2 linked regions of the Lonchura striata genome follow. The protein of the gene in region 1 interacts with the protein of each later gene in a biochemical or structural test. Links are inferred from orthologs where the notes say so. Each region holds a gene or a part of one and is shown on either strand. Other genes may lie near its edges.

What was found.
Region 2: the proteins of GABBR2 (region 1) and KCTD12 form a complex in vitro, tested with the Homo sapiens proteins (2 studies listed by BioGRID). The link is inferred for Lonchura striata from reciprocal best matches to the Homo sapiens genes GABBR2 and KCTD12.

The regions. Positions count from the first base shown.
Region 1 is NC_134603.1:62,277,952-62,287,591, reverse strand, and holds the start of GABBR2 (gamma-aminobutyric acid type B receptor subunit 2), read left to right. Parts: upstream 1-5,070; 5' UTR 5,071-5,093; coding exon 5,094-5,164; intron 5,165-5,966; coding exon 5,967-6,276; intron 6,277-9,640. UniProt on the Homo sapiens protein: Component of a heterodimeric G-protein coupled receptor for GABA, formed by GABBR1 and GABBR2. Within the heterodimeric GABA receptor, only GABBR1 seems to bind agonists, while GABBR2 mediates coupling to G proteins.
Region 2 is NC_134604.1:49,127,152-49,136,447, reverse strand, and holds KCTD12 (BTB/POZ domain-containing protein KCTD12), read right to left. Parts: upstream 4,689-9,296; coding exon 3,690-4,688; 3' UTR 238-3,689; downstream 1-237. UniProt on the Homo sapiens protein: Auxiliary subunit of GABA-B receptors that determine the pharmacology and kinetics of the receptor response. Increases agonist potency and markedly alter the G-protein signaling of the receptors by accelerating onset and promoting desensitization.

The sequences.
Region 1 (9,640 bases):
ATGCATCAGTCAACATAAATTGGAAATAGTATTTCTTGCTGGCTCTGTTGAAAACAGAGACTCAAAACTGTGTTCAATTTTTGATATATTTATAGGAAGTGGTAAGATACACTGCAAGGGGAAATTCATGTTGGATGATAACACCAGGACTGATGAGATTGTGCTCCTATTTCCTATTTATAAAAACATCGGCACTTACACAGTGATAGTGCTTGGTTGGTAATTTAAAATCTGATGCTCTTTTAACTTCATTTGCCTCTCTTAAGGCCCTTAGATTTGGAGATTAAGTAAGCTGAGCTGTGTCCTGACACCCTGATATAAAGACAGCAATCAAGGTGTCTGGAGAGGCTGTAGGGTAAGGATCATGCAGTTGTGTGTATACTCTTGCAGCTGTGGAGGGTTTTTGGTGGTGTTTGAGAATGCTGTATGCTCTTGTAACAAATATGGAACTTTGGGCTAGGAAGTTAGCTGAGGTAGGTGGGAAAGCCCTTGGGAGGGAGGGAAAAGGTGGATGGGAAAGCTCCCCCTGTTCTGCTGAGGTGCAAGAGCACTGCAGTATTGTTACATTTCTCATTTACAGAGGAAAAACATTATGCCTGTACATGCAGTGCTAAAATTAATATGCCTAGATTAACAGTTTTCATTTTTTTAAATTCCACAATTCACTGATATTTTTATGAACAGACAAAGCCTAATTAGACCAGTCCCTGTCAGCACTGACAGGAATTGCATGGCTCCAGGATTTGCAAAGGTGGCTGGAGACAAAAACAGGGCAGGACTTTCTCAGTGATCTCTCCAAAAGTATTAAGATGAATATACAGGAAAATACATACAGGAAGTGAGTTGCTGGCCTAAGGGGCTGCATGACATATTTTGTGTAGCATCAAACCATCTCCCAGAGTAGGAGAGGACTTGCAACAGATGCAATTTATTTATTAGTGTTAATGGAAAATCAGTTCTCTGAGTTTCTTGACTTTATCCATGGTCTGAAGATACTTGCAACTGAAGAAGTGGTCAAGGGAGTCATACTAGTACAGATGCTTAAATGTGAAGTTAATTAGGTACTCTGATGAGCAAATATAAATATATAAAGAAAAAATTGTTAATTGTGCATAGGCTGTGAGAAGACTTAGAAGTAACTGAGAAATTGGAAGTGTTCATTAGCGGAAAGATATTTGACAGTGTTTTTACAGAAATATGGTTGAAGGATTCACATGATTGAAGCACAGAAATGGCTGGGTAACATGCCAGGAAGAAAGTGACATTTGATTTTCGAGTGAAGAGGTTTTACAGTTCTTGTGAACTGATATTTTAATCAACAAGGAATAAACAGAGGGTGTCTGATGTGGACCACCAAATGAGAATATAATGCCTTTTTGCCTAACAGATAAAGAATGTGTGCTGCTTCAGAGGATTTCATCCTAGGGAATTTATTTTACCAGTTCGATGGTAGCAAAACGTTCTGGGTATTTCTAAGAGGGAAAAAAAAGGCAGCTGAGCCAGTGCCTGTGTCTGACACAATATTTAATAAGCATTTTGGAGCAATTCTCCTTTAGGCCTACTTTTATTTAAAATGAGCTGTTACCTGGGCATCTGTTATTCATAAATGCAGCATAGTACCTAAGAAAGAAGAAATTTCTCAGTGCTGAGAATTGGAAAGAAGCAGGCTTTACAAAATATAACTGTAGCAGAGAATCATGCTGAAAACATATGTGAAGAATGTGAAACTTCCTTGCAAATTACTTAGGTGCCAGAAATAAAGGTTTTTGTGAAATCAGAAGTTGGCTTCAGTGTGTCTATTACACTATGATTTTTAATTACATTATTTTCTTACAATACATCCACTGTTTTTGTGGGGGGAATGGGAGGTGCTTGGGGTTTTTTGTTTGTTTTTGTTTGTTTTTGTTGGGGGGTTTTGATGCTTTTTACAAAAGGTGGAGAAACTGTCATTTTCATGCCTCACTGATACACAGGAAGAATTTTGAGAGGCTTACTTTAACTAATCCTCATTGTTCAATATAGTCTTATTTGCATTCCCATAACCAATCCCTAAACTGAAAAATAAAAGTTATTTTCTTAGTGTGAGGGTTTTTTTTGTTTGTTTGTTTTTGTTTTGTTTTATCTTTTTTTTACCATTAACGAAGAGCATCCTGTTTTACTGACAGGGAATGCAGCAACAAACAGATTAAAGTCAGAAGAACCACTTTGTTAAATACTGTAATTTGAAGTGCAGCTTTGCTTGGTTTAAACGATATCCAGCCATACTCCAGACCTCTGCAGACCTCTCCTAGATGCATTTCTTTGCCCTACCTCTCCAGCACTGGCCTTCCCTGTGCACTGCAGGGACACCAGTGTCAGCTGGTCTCTGCCTCCCACATGAGGGCAAACCTTGAACTTCACACTCAGTGAAGTTTCTGACCTGTACTGGGAAAAGCAAGGAGATGCATTTCAATCTTCAGCTAACAAAAGGACATTTGCTACTGCAGCAGTAGTAAAGAAGGATGTCAGGTGGTTGCTAATAATGTCCAAGGTACTAATTCTGTTGTAACACACAACCTGGCCTCAAGCTTTCTTTCATAAAGACTGAGTTCTCAAAAAGAGAAATTGCTTCCAAAACAACCCCAGCTCTTGGAAAGATGATGACAGTCCAGAGACAATGTGAGTGTGTGTGCTAATAAACTGCCAATATTGTAAAATGATCAAATTGATCCAAGTAGCTGTAGTACTGGTAGCCAAGTACTGGTGAAAATCACAGAATGATACAGTATACAAGCAGTGAAGAAAGATTTTCTGTGAAACTAATTTTGACAAACTTGCATAGCAAGTTGAGAATGGCAAAACATCATTTCGCATATGATATTCTGGTTAAAAATAGCATTACACAAAATCAATATGGCACCTATTTCTGTTGGCATCCTAGGAATGTTCTTGGTGTTATGATAATCAATTTTCTGGAAGAAAATGAGTTGCTGGAAAGTTTGCAGGTGACAAACTGCTGGCCAAATCACTTGTACAAGTAAAGGTCATGGTTTGATTTATTCTAGTGCAAAACCAAATGCACAGGAGTAAGGAGGTAGGTGATGCTTTTAGGCAGTGCCAGCAGGAATTGGGGGCAGAGGGGGCAAGAGCTGGATGTTCGTCTGGCTCTGGTCCAGGGGGTTTTCCAGATGCCTTCTGTCCCACCTGGGTCACCAGAAACTGATGTCTTTGAAGGCTGACCTGGAACAGAGACTAGAGAGAGTTAAATAATAAAGTAGGTATTTATTAGAAGGTCTCAATAGATACACCTTGGGCAGTACAAGAGCCCAGCCAGGGCTACACCCAAGATGAACCAAAATGATCACACAATGGATGTCTCTCACTTTTATAAATTCGGATCCATTATCTTATTGGAGTTTATTGTCCAATTACGGCTTTAGATTACGAAGTCATATCCTTCTTGTTTTTCTCTCTTCAGTCCACTGTTGTTTATGCTTTTGGGACTGAAATTTGGATCATTTGTCCTTGGTCCCCAGAGAGAAAAGGATTATTTTTTTTTACCTACTCTGAGGAGAGCTTACTATTCCCCAATATGAAGCTCAGAACTACACACTAAAGCAGTACAAAATCTGGAAAATACAAAAGCTAAAATCTGAGGCATCAAAAACATGGTGCAGATGATTTCATAAAGAGACATTCCTACAAGGACAACACACTACCTGGTCTTCCTGTAGGGATTAGGTTTCTCAATCTGCCAACCTGCCCAGCCTATGGAACCGGCTGGTACTGAGGGAGGTGCTGAGGTTGCAGCTTCTGGCCCAGTGCAGGCAGGTCACAGGGTTAGAAGGGCCAGTTCAACATCATGTGGAAAAAGGAGAGGTGCATTGGAAGTGCCTCCAGGAATGATTCTTGAGGTGAGGGAAAGTTGGCCTTGTTTTTTACAAAAGCAAGATGTGATTAATCTTAGCCCCTGTGGGTGGGAGAAGATCCCTGACACTACATTCCCTTAAGCCAATAAAGGTATGATGAGAACTGGTGGCTGGAAGTTGGAATAAGACAAATTGATACGGAATATGAAATACACCTTTTAGCAAACTAATTAATAATTGAAATGATTTATCAAGAGAAGTGATGGACTCTTCATTACTGATATCTTAAAGTCAACACTGCTGGATGTCATTCTGCGTGAAAGGCTGTAACGCAACAAATGTTATGAAATTACTGGTTGAGGGCTTTTGGCCCAAGGTCAAATCTTACAATCTTAGAATATATTAATCCATGAAAATTCTTTCCAATTTATTGCAGACATGCTGCCATTGCAGTGTAACATAAACTAGATGTATTAGGTTGATCTTCAAAGGCTTGCTTGGAGTGACCTCAGGAAATTTATGAATATGTATAAAAAGTGAGGTGCCTAAGGCAGGGTTAAGAAAAGTTTTTCATTTTGCCTGTACCCATACAGGTATGGGATCTACCTGAGATGAAACAGATCTGTGAATTGCTGCTCTGGGACTCTGCAGACCACGGACGTGGGTGGGCAGTGTGAACGTGTTCCCTGGGATGGGAGGATAGCCTGGGAGCAACGCAAAAAGCCATGGGCTGTCTATGGGCTATGCCCCACAGCCACTGTGATGTGGTGACAATTACTTGGGAGAACATGTGTGGAAAGGGCTCGCTTCCCACAGACTATTCACAGGGTTGCGACAGCCCTCGGGGAGGCTCAGAGTCCTGCCGCAACCTTATTTTTTTTTATTTGTTTTTGTTTTTTGTAATTTGAGCAGTGTCAGGGTCTCCAAAAACCCGCCAGTTCTGAGGGGAAAAGAAACCGGTTTAAAAAAAAAAAAAGCCCAAAAAAAACCACCAAAAAAACCCACCAAAACCCCACGACTTCTGCTCTAGCGAAACGCCCCGCTCCTGCGTGCCGCAGAGCTGCCGTGGCCCGGGCTGGCTGCGCGTGTGCGTGTGCGGGGTGCCGAGCCCGAGTGGGAGCGTGTTTGCGTGCCGCGTGTGCGCGGGGGAGGGCGGGGAGAGTGCGCGGAGCCCGCCCGCGCCGGGCCGCCCTGCCAGCGGGCTCCGTGCGTGTGCCGGGCGGGTCGCGCGTGGGGACAGCGCCGATGGGCAGCGGCCGCAGCTCGCACCTCCCCGCGCCCACCCGCGCCCGCCTTGGCAGCTCCACCTGGAGAAGGTGCCCGACCCACAGGCAGCGAACGCTGATGCCGTGAAGAGGGAGCGCGGTCCGGCCCCCGCCGCCGCCGCACACTTTGCGCTGCCCGCGGCCGCGCATCCTGCCCGGCGGCTTTGCCCGACCCGCAGGAAGGGCGCAGGCGGCACCTCGCTCCCGCGGCGGGGGCTGCCCCGGCTCCCGCGGAATGCGGCATTAGCACCCCCGCCCGGCTCGGCACCGCTCCCCTTCTCCGCCTCCCCGGCTCTAGAGGGGGGGCTTTTTCCTCTTCGGCGTTTTCTGCCGGAGCATCCCTTTTTTCCCTTTTCACCCTTTTGGAGGAGGAGGAGGAGGAGGGGGAAGGAAGGAAGTGTTCAATGAGGGCTGCTCGGCTACCCCCCCCGCGCCTGAGAGGTGCTGTCCCTCCCTGAGCGGAGAGGGTGGAGAGCTGCCGAGGAGGCAGAGGCAGGTCCCGCTCCCTTGCTGTGCCGCCGGGGAGAGCGGAGGAGGGTGGTGAGGAGAGTGTCTGTGTGTGCGTGGTGGTGGTTATTTATTTATTTATTGCTCCTGGTGGTTGCAGCTGGCAGACCTGGGAAGGAGTAGGCGCCATTGCCAGAAGGATTATTGCCAGGGGAGGGGAGGGGGGGGGGGGAAGAGAGAGGAGACCCCGAGGCTCCCGAGGAAGAGGAGACAGGCAGATCTTTCCCTCCCGCCTTGGCTTCTGCCGCCGGGGGATGCGCCCAGACTGAGAGGGGCTCGGCTCTCTTCCGCCGCTCAGCCCGTTCCCCCACCCTCAGTCCTCCTCCTCCTCCTCCCCATCCAGCAGCATGCATCCCTCTCCGCGGAGACCGGCCGCTGCCACCTCCAACCCTGCCATGCTACTGCTGCTCCTGTGCCTGGGCTGGGCGCCGCCGGGCTGGGGCTGGTCGCGGGGCAGCTCCCGGGGGACGGCCGGGCTGCCCCCCAACGCCACCACGCCGATCTCCATCATGGGCTTGATGCCGGTCAACCAGTCCGAGGAGGAGAGCAGGATCACCCAGGGAGTGCTACCCGCCGTGTATCTGGCCATGGATCAGATCCGCAACGAATCCCTGCTCAACCCCTATTCCCTGGACCTGCGGGTCTACGACACGGAGGTAGGGACCGCCGCGGGCCCCGCGCCGCCGGGCGCAGGGGGAGGCGCCGCCGCCCAGTCCCGGGGCGCTGCGGGTGCAGGGGCGCAAGGGCAGCGCGGACGCCCGGGCCGGGGCTGCGGCTGCCGGCGGGGCCGTGCGCGCCGCCTCCGAGCCGCCTTGCCCGCCCGGCCCCGCGGGCTGCCGGCAGATGTGCAGGGACCGGCGGCGGAGGGGGAGGACGTGGAGCCGGCGGGCCGAATCCTGCCCGCCCGGTATTACCAGGAGCGGCTGCCCCGGCAGCTGGGGCTCGCCCCACCGCCCCAGAAGCGCCCCTGTCCGGGAGTCGCCTGCAGCGCGGGGGTGGGCCCGGACGGGTGCCCGGGCGGCGGGGGCTCTTGTCGGTGGCGGTGGCTGGGATCCGCTGCCCTTGGCACGCACGTACACCGGTGGGAGGAAAGCTGCCTCGCCCAGCGAAGCCGCGGCCGCATCCCTGTGCCAGCCGCCACCCGCTCAGCAACAGATGCACACCGGGCGCTCCGCTCCCCCGCTCCGCCAACGGGCTCACGCCGCCAGCCCGGCTTATCCCATGCGGCGACGGGACGCGGAGGGCAGCGGTCGCAGCCGTAGCTTGAGGAGGAGGAGGGGAGGCTTCGCAGGGGTTCGCCGAGATTCCCCCCGTCCCTGCCCTCCGGCGGGAGCGGCTGAGCGCTCGTCCGGGGGTGCGTGGCAGGCGGGCGGCGGGGCGCGGAGGCGCTCGCTTCTCGGGAAGAACTAAATTTGCAGTGCCGGTTCCTGCGGAGCGCTGCCAGTGCGGCGGGATGCCTGCCCCCGTTCCGGAGCGCTGCCAGCGGCCGGCCGTCAGCGCTGGGAGAGCGGGGAGCCCTGCTGAGCGAGGAAACACGCTCCCTTTACCTGGGAGCGAGAGGCAGGGAGCGGGGCGAGGGCTTTGTGGAGCTGGTTGCCACTACCGCCCGCCCGCAGCTGCCTTTGGTTTTTGTCACAACTTCAGTACCTGTGTGTTTGCGGAGGATAGGCGCGGGTCCGGTACCGGGGCTCCCCTGAAGATGGCAGTCACTTCTTGTGTAATGCTGGCGGTCGGGGTTCGCTTCCAAGACAACCCCCGGTAAAGCAAGTGACTGCTGAAAATCTTGCCGGCTGTAATTTAAGGAAGCCCCTGTGCTCCCTTTAGGTTTCTCAGGTCCGGGGGGAACAAACTGAGAGCAGCAATGACAGGCTGTACTGTATCGTGACAGTGTTTCCGTCCCTAAAATGACTACCAAAGGCCTCTCCTTCCAGGGTGGCTGCTTTTTATTGACATAAATTTGTCATAGTGTTAAAAAAAACAAAAAACAAAAAACAAAAAAAAACACCAACCACTGAGCAGAAATGCATGGAGGGCAATACTGCTGAAGATGTCACTTAGGAAGGAGCAGGCTGCCATCCTGTTGTGTTGTGTGAACAAGACTAGATACTGACAGGGAATACAGGCAAGATCAACCTAGAGTAGCTGCTTGTTTCTTTAAAAAGATGAATCTCAGGGAACTCTGCAATTGTAATGAAAAGAATTATGGGGGATTTTCTGAATGGCATTACCTGTCTCATAAAGTGAGATGCATGTCAGGAAAAAATTCACAGGTTTCCTAATCCTGTTTTCATTACGTTAATCTATATTAGTTTTTCCTGTGGATAGAATTATTAAAAAAATAGGCATAGGAATTAGAGAAGCCTAGGCAGGATGTCCCTTCTTCTTACAGTAATATCTTAATAAAGAAGGTGCTGCACTTTATTGCAGTCAAAATATTGTGGCACTCTTCATAGAGATTTTGGGTTCTGAACTAGGTAGTTATCATAAAAATATTCAGGAAAAAAATTACCCTATTTGTTCTGGAATGAGTATCAGTTTCTTTAAAATTTTACTGTTAGTACTCCAGGGACATAAGAAATCAGGGTCATGTTGCTACCTTGCTGTGTTGCTTTAAATGCTTTTAAGAAATTAATAAATGCATGGTTATGGAATGCTAATTCAGGTGACCGTACATGTTTAGAGTACAGTTGGGTCATTATTGCATGCTTAATAGTGACAAGTAAATAAGTTAGTGTCCATAAAGAGTGCTAGATTGACTGCACCCAACAGAATGGACGAATGCCTGGAATAGCCATTAAATACCTAATGGCAGCACAAACTTTTTCAGTCGGTTCAGACATTACCCTTTTCCTTCAGTGCACTTACGATAAGCAGGAGGGTAGCTGGCTCATCATGCCCACTTGATTCTCAGCCTATTTTCTGAGACTGCCAATAAATAGCTATGCCTGAAGGGCCTGGATCCTTATCATTGCATAATCAGAGACCAGGGAGTAGTTCTCCCTCTCAGGGCTTCACAGGTGGTGCTTGTGACATTGTTGGCTCTTGAAAGAGAGAATGTAGAGCCTTGAACACATAGGATTTTTTAATAGCTTGAGAAATAATTGTAGTATATTTATAATGCTTAGGAAATGCATGGCAGTGATTTACTAATTCAGGTATTCTCCCTTGTGTCTCCAAAATCCGTCTTTGTTGCAGTCTGATCCTTGTATTGTAATTTTTTGTAATACTTTAAGTGCTTGTGAAAAACAATAATGAAAATAAACTAGATTGGTTTTTTTTGTTTTTTATTATGAGTTCAGGTTCATTCTGTCAGGATTGAACTGAATATTCTATCTGGCTTGATAGTTCTGGTTTGTATAAGGAAGCATCATAATGTCTTTACTTTCTGACCATAACATATGAAGAACTGCAGCGTGCCTTCTAAGGTGAACTGTTGTTTGTCAGCACTTGAACTCGTTAACCTTTGAGGACATGAGCAGCAGCTCGAGTGATTTTCAAAGCATTTAAATTGAATTAGCACTTAAGTGCAATGTTTAGTTTATGACTCTGTGAATTGCATCTTTGTTATGAAATATGACCACAAGTTACTTCACATACAAAAATGCAGAGGCTTCTGTTCTGGGTATTTTTTGATCTCTAAATGTGCTTTGAGTGTGATCATGATCCAGTGTATTTTGCTACTTCATGGGCATGTCTTTATCTATTTGGGCATTCCTATGCAGACTCAGTCAATAAAACAAATCTCATATGTAGGCATTTGCAGAATTCTGATCTAAGTGACTTTACTTTGTGCTGTTCATTTTGATGAGACTCTCTCTAGATGAGACTCTTGGGAAAAATTTCATAATTGTGTTATTTTAGAAACTCAGAAATGTATAAAATGATCTCTAAAGGGTATCATCCAAACCCCATTGAAATTAATGGCAGTAAATGCACTGATTCCAGCGGCCCTTGGACCAAGTCCTAGAAGTTAAGGGTGCTTGATAGCTTATGGCTTCATATCAACAATCATGATACAAT
Region 2 (9,296 bases), on another chromosome or scaffold:
GACCAGTACTACAAAAAAATCTCTGTGATGCTTAAAAGGAAATTATGCAGTCTGAGTACTATACATTTCTGTTTATCTTGCCACGGTGTTACTAGAGGTCTTTGTATACATAATTTTGTGTTTCTGCTTTATACATTAGTTTGGAGTCTTTGTTGAAGTTATGAATGTGATACAGTGGGAGAACAAAGCTAACAACAACTGCACAGAGAATAAAAAGGACAGCATAAACCACACAACTGAGTTAATATTTAAAGAACAAAAATTTAATTTGGTATGCAACTTTATCCTAGGAGGATCTTTATTTTCAATGCTATACATGTGAAAATAAGAATGAATAAGTGGCTCATTATCTACATGTATAAAAATATAAACATCCTATCAAACATATGCAAAATCACCCTTCATGATATGCATCACTGAAAAGACCTATGCCTAACTTCTAATTAAAAGAAAGACTGCCCTTGTGGATTTTTAATAGCACTTGTAAATGCTACTGCATTCATCCATAAGTACATGAATTATGAAAGAAACAGCTACGAAATGTAGACAGGACTCCAGTATTGTGCCTTTATATTTTTGTATGTTTTCATGTCAACAAGTCAGCAGTCATTGTGTTTATCCATTCTTCAAGCTCTCAATAGAACAGACAAGTAAAACTCATTGACTTTGCCTTGAGCATTTTTCCTTTTAAAAAGTTTACTGCCATTACTAAGTAATGGTTCAGAAAAGTATCATCTTCTGTGGCAAAGCATTTACGGCACCATCATTTTAAGCCTGCTGACAATACTGATAATGAGTTATCAGTAAATTAAAGGCCCATTTCTTTACACTAATAACACTTAAAATTTTTTAGCACAAAGATTAAAAAAAAAAATCCTGTTTATATTACATCCATTTTTACATAAAAAGTGAGAATTACTGGGTCATCTGCCAGGAAAGGGATAGGCAACTATTAATCAAAAGACAGGCAATCTTTGTTTTAGAGATGCATTCAGCCTCCTAGAAGATTCACATTCAAGCAAATATGTCATCAATTTCAGTTCTACAAGCTGATGATATTCATATTCAGTTTTTCCATTGAAATAGGTATAAGAAAGCAGTAAAACATTACCATATTATATACATAACATAATGTGAAAATGCTCAGGTAGATACATTATGAAATCCTGTAACACGAAAATTATTAAAAAAACTAAATGATTTGTGTAAAATGTTAATACACTCTATATATATGTACACTAAACCACAAGGTCAATTTAAAACTGCCCCTATTCATAGCTCCTATGATGGATTTAGTAAGCTACCAGATTCTTAAAAAAAGAAAGCTATCTAGAGCAAATTTGAACACCTTACTGAAAACTGATTTTATACAAAATCTTAAAAAACATACTTCAGAGTTACTTAACGGAAACTAGAAAAAGACAGTCATTACTCTCGAGAAGGGCACTGTAAAGACCTAGTAGCTGTGATCAATGTCTTTTCCCTTGTGGTAAAAGTTAAGCACAAAGAAGTCATCTCAGAGTAAGGCATAGGACAAACAGACTTCATTCCATCCTCAGGTGTATTGGCCTCTCACTGTATCTTATTGCTCATCTGATTTGGCAGGTTTACATTTCTATCCTTTTAAAAATACTCCATAATACAACTACCTACAAATAGACAGTATCCAGTGCTTTCATATGCACATCTTCAATTCAATCACGTTGATAAACAACCTCGCTAATATTAGCAAAAAGAAGCCGTGGTGACACAAATTATTTTCAGTTTTATGTAGCGGTGCACTTAATGAAAGAACTTAATGAAAGACCAAGTGAAGAGAGACTGAGCACTGAAACTCTACAGAAATGTAGCTATAGCTTTTCCAAAGGAATTAGGGTTTTTTAAAAAAGCCCTACTGTGAAATTCTTTGGTTAGAATACAGGTGCTATCAGTATTTCTAAATTTGGAATTAGAATTAGAACTAGGTAGAAGTAGAATTATTGTTCAAGAGTTTTAAAAACATAACTTCAAGCCTTTAATATGTACTGCTAAATTCTTCAACACTTCAGATAAATTTAGGGTATTTTTCTGTGATGGTCTGAACAGGCTACACACATTCTTAGATCAAGTTTAGGTTTTTAAAGGGAAGTGCTTTTATATTCCAGACATCAATAATTTGTTAGAAAGAGCTGCTGAATCTCCATAAAACCTGTGGTTCAGATCATCTGTTCCAATGCAGACTCTGACTGCCTCCTCTGGGAAAGACTGTTATTCAGCAGTAACAAAATACAGCTCAGAAGTAATTTCCCCTGAAGAAAGTTGGCATCATCCTTGTTTTTCTGAGGACAGGGCTCAATCCTTTCTAAGAAGTACTAAGTTTGCCTGAGAAGAGGTACACAGCTCTTAGCAGTGTCAATGCCCAGATAATACTGCGATGAAAACTAAGGAAATGACTCTTTAAAAAGGGATATTTGTCATCTGTTGGCTTCAGAGTTTTACGGGACTAACATGACAAAAAGTAACAAGGGTGCTCTTGATGACAGTTATAATGTACATCTGCACTAATTCAATGTACATTATTTCAGCTTCCCAGGACCCAGCCCTACCTTTACTCAGGCAAGCCTAGCTTCACCTCATTCCCATTGTTTTGAGTGTGTTTAAGGAAATACACATTGAGATTTCTGTCCATATTAAAGACAGTAACTTCAAGAGGATTATAAGGACTTCAGACCACCCATGGAAGTTACAAATCACAAGAACTTTAATTTTTCAAAGTGTTTTTGTTTACCTCTCAAAGGAATAAACATATGTCTCTGAGGACACTTCATAGTTCAAATGGTTGTCAAATCTGTCCTTTGACATCAGCCTTACATGTTCTCTGTGCAGGCCCTGGTCCAGCTTAACAGAGATGAGTTCAGAGACATGGGGAGCAAAGAGGGGAGATAGGAGCAACCAGTTGTGAAGGGCCACGTGCACGCCTCCTGCAAAATTACTCATCTTAGCAGATAAAGTATGAGCCAGTGCAAACCCCTCACAGTCAGGCTTCCTTTCTATGTGACAGTCCTTCACAGACAGGCATCACTTTGATGGGTGGGAAAAGGAGGAGTTAAAAATGGACCATTTGGGGTCTGCCCACCAAGGCAAACTCTCTCATAAGGGTATTGGGATGGGAAAAGACAGGCATTTGTCATGCCATCTTTAACAAAAGTTGCTCAAAGCAACTTTAAAGTTTCTCAGCCCCTAACTGGATGGTTTTTTAAATGCCCCACCCTGCCAGAGCTATACCTCAGCTCTGTGTGGGGAGATGGATAAAAACCATGCATGCTTTTGTGGGACTGGCATTTGTCTACTCCCAACATTTCTCTCCTTCCTTGCTACCAACACAGCTACTGGGAGATGCAGGAGGGAGGGTGAAGGTGGGAGCCAGGATATGGTGGCTGATCAGGGACGTGGTGGCCAAGCAGGGACACGATAGCCGAGGCACAACACAGTGACCTCCTGCCCCGGGGCCGTCAGGAGGTGCTGCAAGAGGGGTGGGGGCTGCGCCGGGGCTGGCCCGCCTTGTGCGTGGAGGCAGACACCGGGGTGAGAAAAGCACAGGGAGACACAGCCCCGCTTCACATCCTCCTTCCTTCAGGATGCGAGGGGACCGTAGGTGCGAGGGTGTGCAGGGCCGGCTGTCTTGTCCCCACGCCACAGGCTGCTGATGCTCAGTCCCGGCAGAAAACATACTCGGTGTAGCTGGTCCAGATCTTGTCATCGGCGGGACCGCCCTGCTCGGGACCGAAGGCGCAGGTGCCAGTGGAGGAGCAGGCGGCCATGCGGAAGCCGGCCTCGGAGAGTCGGTCGAAGGCTTGCTCGAGGAAGTTGAACTTGAGGTAGTAGCGGGCAGTGTAGCGCTCGGGAGGACGGTCGGGGTCGCGGCTCTCGTTCAAGGTCTCCCCGAACACCTCTTTGGCCAGCGCCGTCTTGCCGCAGACAGTGATGCGGGCCACCCGCCGGAATTTGGCATCAGCCTGCGCCTCCCGCCCGATGGTGTAGGAGCCCCGGTAGCCGATGGTGATGTAGCCCGAGCGCCGCCCGCCCGCCCCGTCCAGCGACTGCGAGGGCGTGAGCAGCGGTCCGCCCGAGGGGCTGCGGCTGGCGGTGGGCGACGGGGCGGACGCCACGGCCCCGCCGCCTCCTTCCAGCGGCTCGGCCTCCAGGTAGCCGAGGAGCGGGGCCGGCGGCTCCTCGGCGCAGATGGAGCCGTCGCGGTGCAGGACGGCGGGGCGGGCGGCGGCCGCCCGAGTCTGCGCCAGGCGCCGAGCCAGGTCGGGCAGCTGGAAGTACTCAGCCTCCCGCTGGAGGCGGCTGCGCTCGGGGAAGTGCTCGGGCAGCACCAGCTGCAGGTCCCGCAGGTAGTCCAGGATGTAGCGGAAGAGGAAGCCGTCGCGGTCGAGGAAGAAGCGACCCTTGCTGTCCCGGGGCAGCTCGCTGGGCTGCTGCTGCGAGAACATGCGCCAGAGCAGCGAGTCGCGGACCGAGACCACGGTGCAGCGCCGCGTCACGTACACCTGCCCGCCCACGTTCAGCTCCACGATCTCCGGGAAGGAAGACCAGCCGCCCGTCGCCGCTGCGGCCGCCCCGCTGCCCGGCGCCCCGCTCCCCGCCGCGGGCGACACGCCGCCGCCGTTGGGCAGCCCGCGGGCGCTGTCCGCCAGGGCCATACCGGAGCGAGCCCGCCGGAGCCCACGCCCTTCCTCCTCCTCTTCCTCCGGCCGCCTGGGCTACGGCAGGGCCGCCGCCCTCGGGGGAGCGCGCAGCCCTCCGCGGCTGCCCGCCGGAGCCTCCCGCCCCGTCCGGCGCCGGAGCCGCGCTGCCGCTGCGCTCCTCGCGGCCGCTCCTCTGCCCGCTGCCGGACCAACTCCTCCGTCGGGCTGCGAACGGAGAGCCCCGGCACCGGCGGCAGAGCCGTGTTTATGTAGCGCGGCCGCACCTCGCGGGAGGCGTGGGAGGCTGGCGGGAGGCAGAGCCGAGCGCACGGGGAGGAGAAGGGGACGGCCCTGCACTGACGCAGGGTCCCCCGTCGTCGTCCGTCCCCCGTTCCTCCCCCGTTCCCCCCCCGCCCGGTCCTCCTTCCCCGGTTGCGGCGGGGAGCCTCTCCCCGCCCGGTGCGCGCCCGCCGGGCTCCCGTCGCCGTGGGCGCGCACCGCGGTGAGTGTCCAGCGGGGATAAAAACTTGGGGTCCTGCCTCCCCCAACCCTCCAGCTCGCTCCTCGGATTCTCCGGGACGTCTCGTTTTCCGCAGGCAGAAAAAGCCCTCTGTTTGCCCCGAAGTGTACGAGCGGCGGGACGCTGCCGCTCTGCCGCAGGCGCTGTGCTGTACCCCTGCTAATCTTCCTAAGGCTTGTCCCAACCCTCTGTCAATGGGAGCCCCGGCGAGATAACCGTGTCCCCTCCCTCCTGTCGCTGTCGCAGGAGAAAACGCGAGCCTGTGGTGCTGCCGGCTCTCCTCAGGCGGCTCCCGGCCCGTTCCGGGTTTGCGAGACACCCCCATCCCTACGCAGGTTTTAGACGCCCTGCAGGACTCCGTAAAGCCCCCGCCGATCCTCACTCCCGGAGGGAGACGCGACGGATCGCACCGTCGGGAGGCGCCGGGAGCGCCGTGCAAGGGATGCGCCGCCGGCCGGGGGAAGACCCTGGTGGCGAGGGACACCTCGGCGCGGATGGGGTCCCCTCCAGCTGCCTGCCAAGCGACACTTCACCGTGAGAGCCAGGCTCCTCGTGTCTGCGTGCATATTTGTGTATTTAGGTGCCCTTACAGCTCAGATTTAATTAGGATTAATTAGGTACATCAGGATCTGCGTGAAACATAAGCACCTATTTAACATGCATTGGTAGAAAGCATTTGTTTCAGGCTCTTGCTTGAATTTAATCTACCCTTCTGTGTCTCTCTGCAAGCAATAGTAAAGAGCTGCTGCCTTGATGCATTCAGTTCTCTCCAGAGGGAGTTCACGTGTGCTTTCTTCCTCGAGAGGACAGCTCGGAGGACAGGAAGGTCTGAGGAGTATGAAGGCAATGGTCAGTGCTCTCCTTTCGTAGGGGTGAACGAAGCCCTCTCTGGACTACCCTACTGCAAGTGCCCCACTGCAGTTGTCTGTGAAGTAGAAATCAAAAGAGGCAGAGGCAGGGGCTAGAAGTCCTTCAAAAATTGAGAAGTGAGAAAGGAAGGAAAGGCAAGTTAGTTCTCGAGAAGCAAGTTAAGTTTGCCCAAGAGAAGAAGAGGAAGAAGAGGGGGAGTTGAGAAAGAGAAGTTTTGAAAAGGGAATGGGTGGTAAAAAAATAATGTGTCTCGGGAGAACTGACAGGGAGATACTGTGGTCTAAGAAAGGAGATGAGATGGTCTGGGGAGAGTGGTCACTCGGAATTTACAGGAGTCTCATCTGAACAAGACTAAGAATATTGTAACAAAGATGTGGACCACTACTTTTTCCATGGTGGAAATCCAGTTACCAGGACTTTGACCACCAACTATTTTCATTTGTGGGAGTGGAATGGCAAAGTAGGTTAATCTGATGCTTTGCTGACATTTTGTTACAAGAGCTTGTTGTGTCTTTTTTCTTTCTTTCTTTTTTTTTTTTTTTTTGGTTGGTTGGTTTTGGTTTTTGCTTTGGTTGTTTGTTTTTTATGTGGGTTTTTTTTTGAGAGAGAAGTAGAAGAGAGGTTAAAACAGTTCTGAAAGATGAGGGGAAAATTAAGTAATCTTGAATTAAGTTGTTTTGCTACCCATTTAAACAGCTGAGTTTGTTGATAGAGGAAAAAAAAAGGAGAAGTAATGTGACACACAGAAGATTTGGGTTTTTTCTGTATACTATTTCAGGGTCAATTCACCAGAGTAAAAGCACATGAAATTTTCACGTGGTGGTTTGCTGGTGACAGTTTTATGGAGCTGGTCTCTTAATGTGGCATCTCCCCCCACATCACCCTGCTCCTGGCCATACTTAGCAGGAAGCCACCTCAAGAGCCTCCTACAGATTCGTATTTTAAACTCCACTTCCCTAGTGTGGGCTCCCTATCGAGAGCACTGTGATTAAACTGTGCACCCAGAGGATGAGATCATATAATGCCTGAGCAGGCGCTTATTCATAGCAGAATTTGCAGTGAAAGATTTTGTACCTACCAGCAGGTGAGTTTTAACAAATGCTCCCATGTTAAAAAATGGGATCTTTAGTTCATCTTTTATTAAAATTACTTCATTTTTCTGGCATTAGGTGAATATTAATGCAGATCAAGGAAAAAAAAAAACTCTAACATATTCATTAGACTTGAACTTTCTGTTTGTATTGAGCTTTGTTAGATTTGAGACCAGACTTCAGAAAACCTGAGCTTCATGGATTCTTCCTGGGCATATTTTCACAAGCTTCAGAGATGAGTAAGTTATGCTGCCCCTTCAGCCACTGGCTCCTCAGAGCTTTACCTCTGCCTGCCTACTGTCTCATGGGAGGTCGGGTGACAAGGACCCACCGTGCTCCTGTGCAGCACCTGATGATGTCCAAAGCCACGCACATTAAAGGGGTGTGGAGGAACTCAGCTGACACAATAAGTTATTTGGCCCAATGTCTCAGGTCTCTTTTTAAGGGCACAAACCAGTACATCCCACTGTAGTGTTCTCTCTGTCAATGTGAAGCTGACTCCAGGGTCCCCTTCAAAAAGGGAGCACGGAGCCTTCTCAAGATGCTGTTCATACAGCCTGTTCAACAGTCCTGGGCAAAGACCCAGCTTGCAGTGTTTGTCTCTGAGATGGATGTAATTTTCTGGGCTTAAAAACATGCCCAGCACTGAAATAACTGTTTTGAAGCTACGTCTCTTCAGAGAAATTATATTCTGTGGGCATCTCACTGCTGTTTTATGCCTTGCCTGTCTGCAAGTCTTTAGTTATTGTGACTTCTTTCGTCAACAGATTTTTCCTCTTTTCACAATATGTTCATCTAATTTCTCCTTTTCCTATCTCTTTTCATTTGGCAACATTTGTCTCAGTGAGGAGGATTGGACTTCATCTGTGGGTATTACAATGGGTAAATATATCAACAATTTTCTACTTATGTGTCAGTCACTGGGTTGCGTAACACAGTCGTAGTGGTTTATTCTTATTTTGTGTGGGAGACAGTGAAATACTGGTACATGTAACATTAAAGGCTGCCACTGAATGCCTTCTGTAAGGCATACAGCCCCCATAAAGGGTGGTAAATATTAAATATGTTCTAATACACAGGCAAGGCTTTATGACAAATGTGTAGTTGACTATCTCTGACTGTGCAGTATTGGGACATTTCTGGGCAGTAGCTCTTACAGTTAAGACAGTCACATTTCAATGTTTGCTATTAGCTGCTGGCCAGAACTAGCTACCTGGCAGGATACAACAGTTTTTCTTCTTTTAATATTTTGAGAAGTTTCCATTGGTTTGGGGGGATTGATTTAGTTGATTTGGGGGGTTTTGTGGCTTTTTGTTTGTTTGTTTGGTGGGGGGTGTGGAGGAGGCTTTTGTTGTTTCCATGTTTACAAAGATGCTTCCATCGCGATGGGCCCGTTTTGTATTTTGGGCGGTACATCCATGGATGATCCAGGTTTATTCAGGGAGGACAGTTCTCTTCACAAATGGAGGAAGGATAGCATCTAGTGGCAGTAAATCCACATTGCAATTAAGACATACAAGGGGCTCTAGAGTATTGGCTGCATGACCCGAGGTACATAAAGAGTAAACGATACTTTTTCGGTAGATGTAAACTATTATGTATTCAGCTTCTTCGTGAGAAACTTAGTAGAGCAAGAACATATTTTATCACTGTTCCAAACTAAAAGTGTTGGTTTATTATTTCTTCTAGCAGTCTTTGCTATGTGAAGTGATACAATATTGCTTAGAAAAAACCTAATTGCAAATGACTGCATTGCTTGAATTTTAATACTGAGTTCAGTTAAATATTTAGCCTTCTGCATAAAATTGTCAAAAAGAGTTAGTGATCTGAACAGAACTGAACTGGAGGTTCAAATACACTCATTTAAGCTTCACAGTCTTGTTTAGACAATGCAGAAAAAAGTCTAGTAGTCCCACAGCAGAGTATATTGCCTAAGAGTCATGAATCCTTTGTGTTATATGCTCTCTAAAATGTGTGCAGTTCCATAGGTCTGACTTTGACAGTAAATGAATGACTATTAGGCTGAAACCTTTCCCATTTCTGAACCATTGTTCAGAGTGAATTTATCAGCCTCAGCATTATGCTCAGGTGATACCAAGTAGTATTTCCAAAAACTTGAATTATGCATTATTCCACCTAATG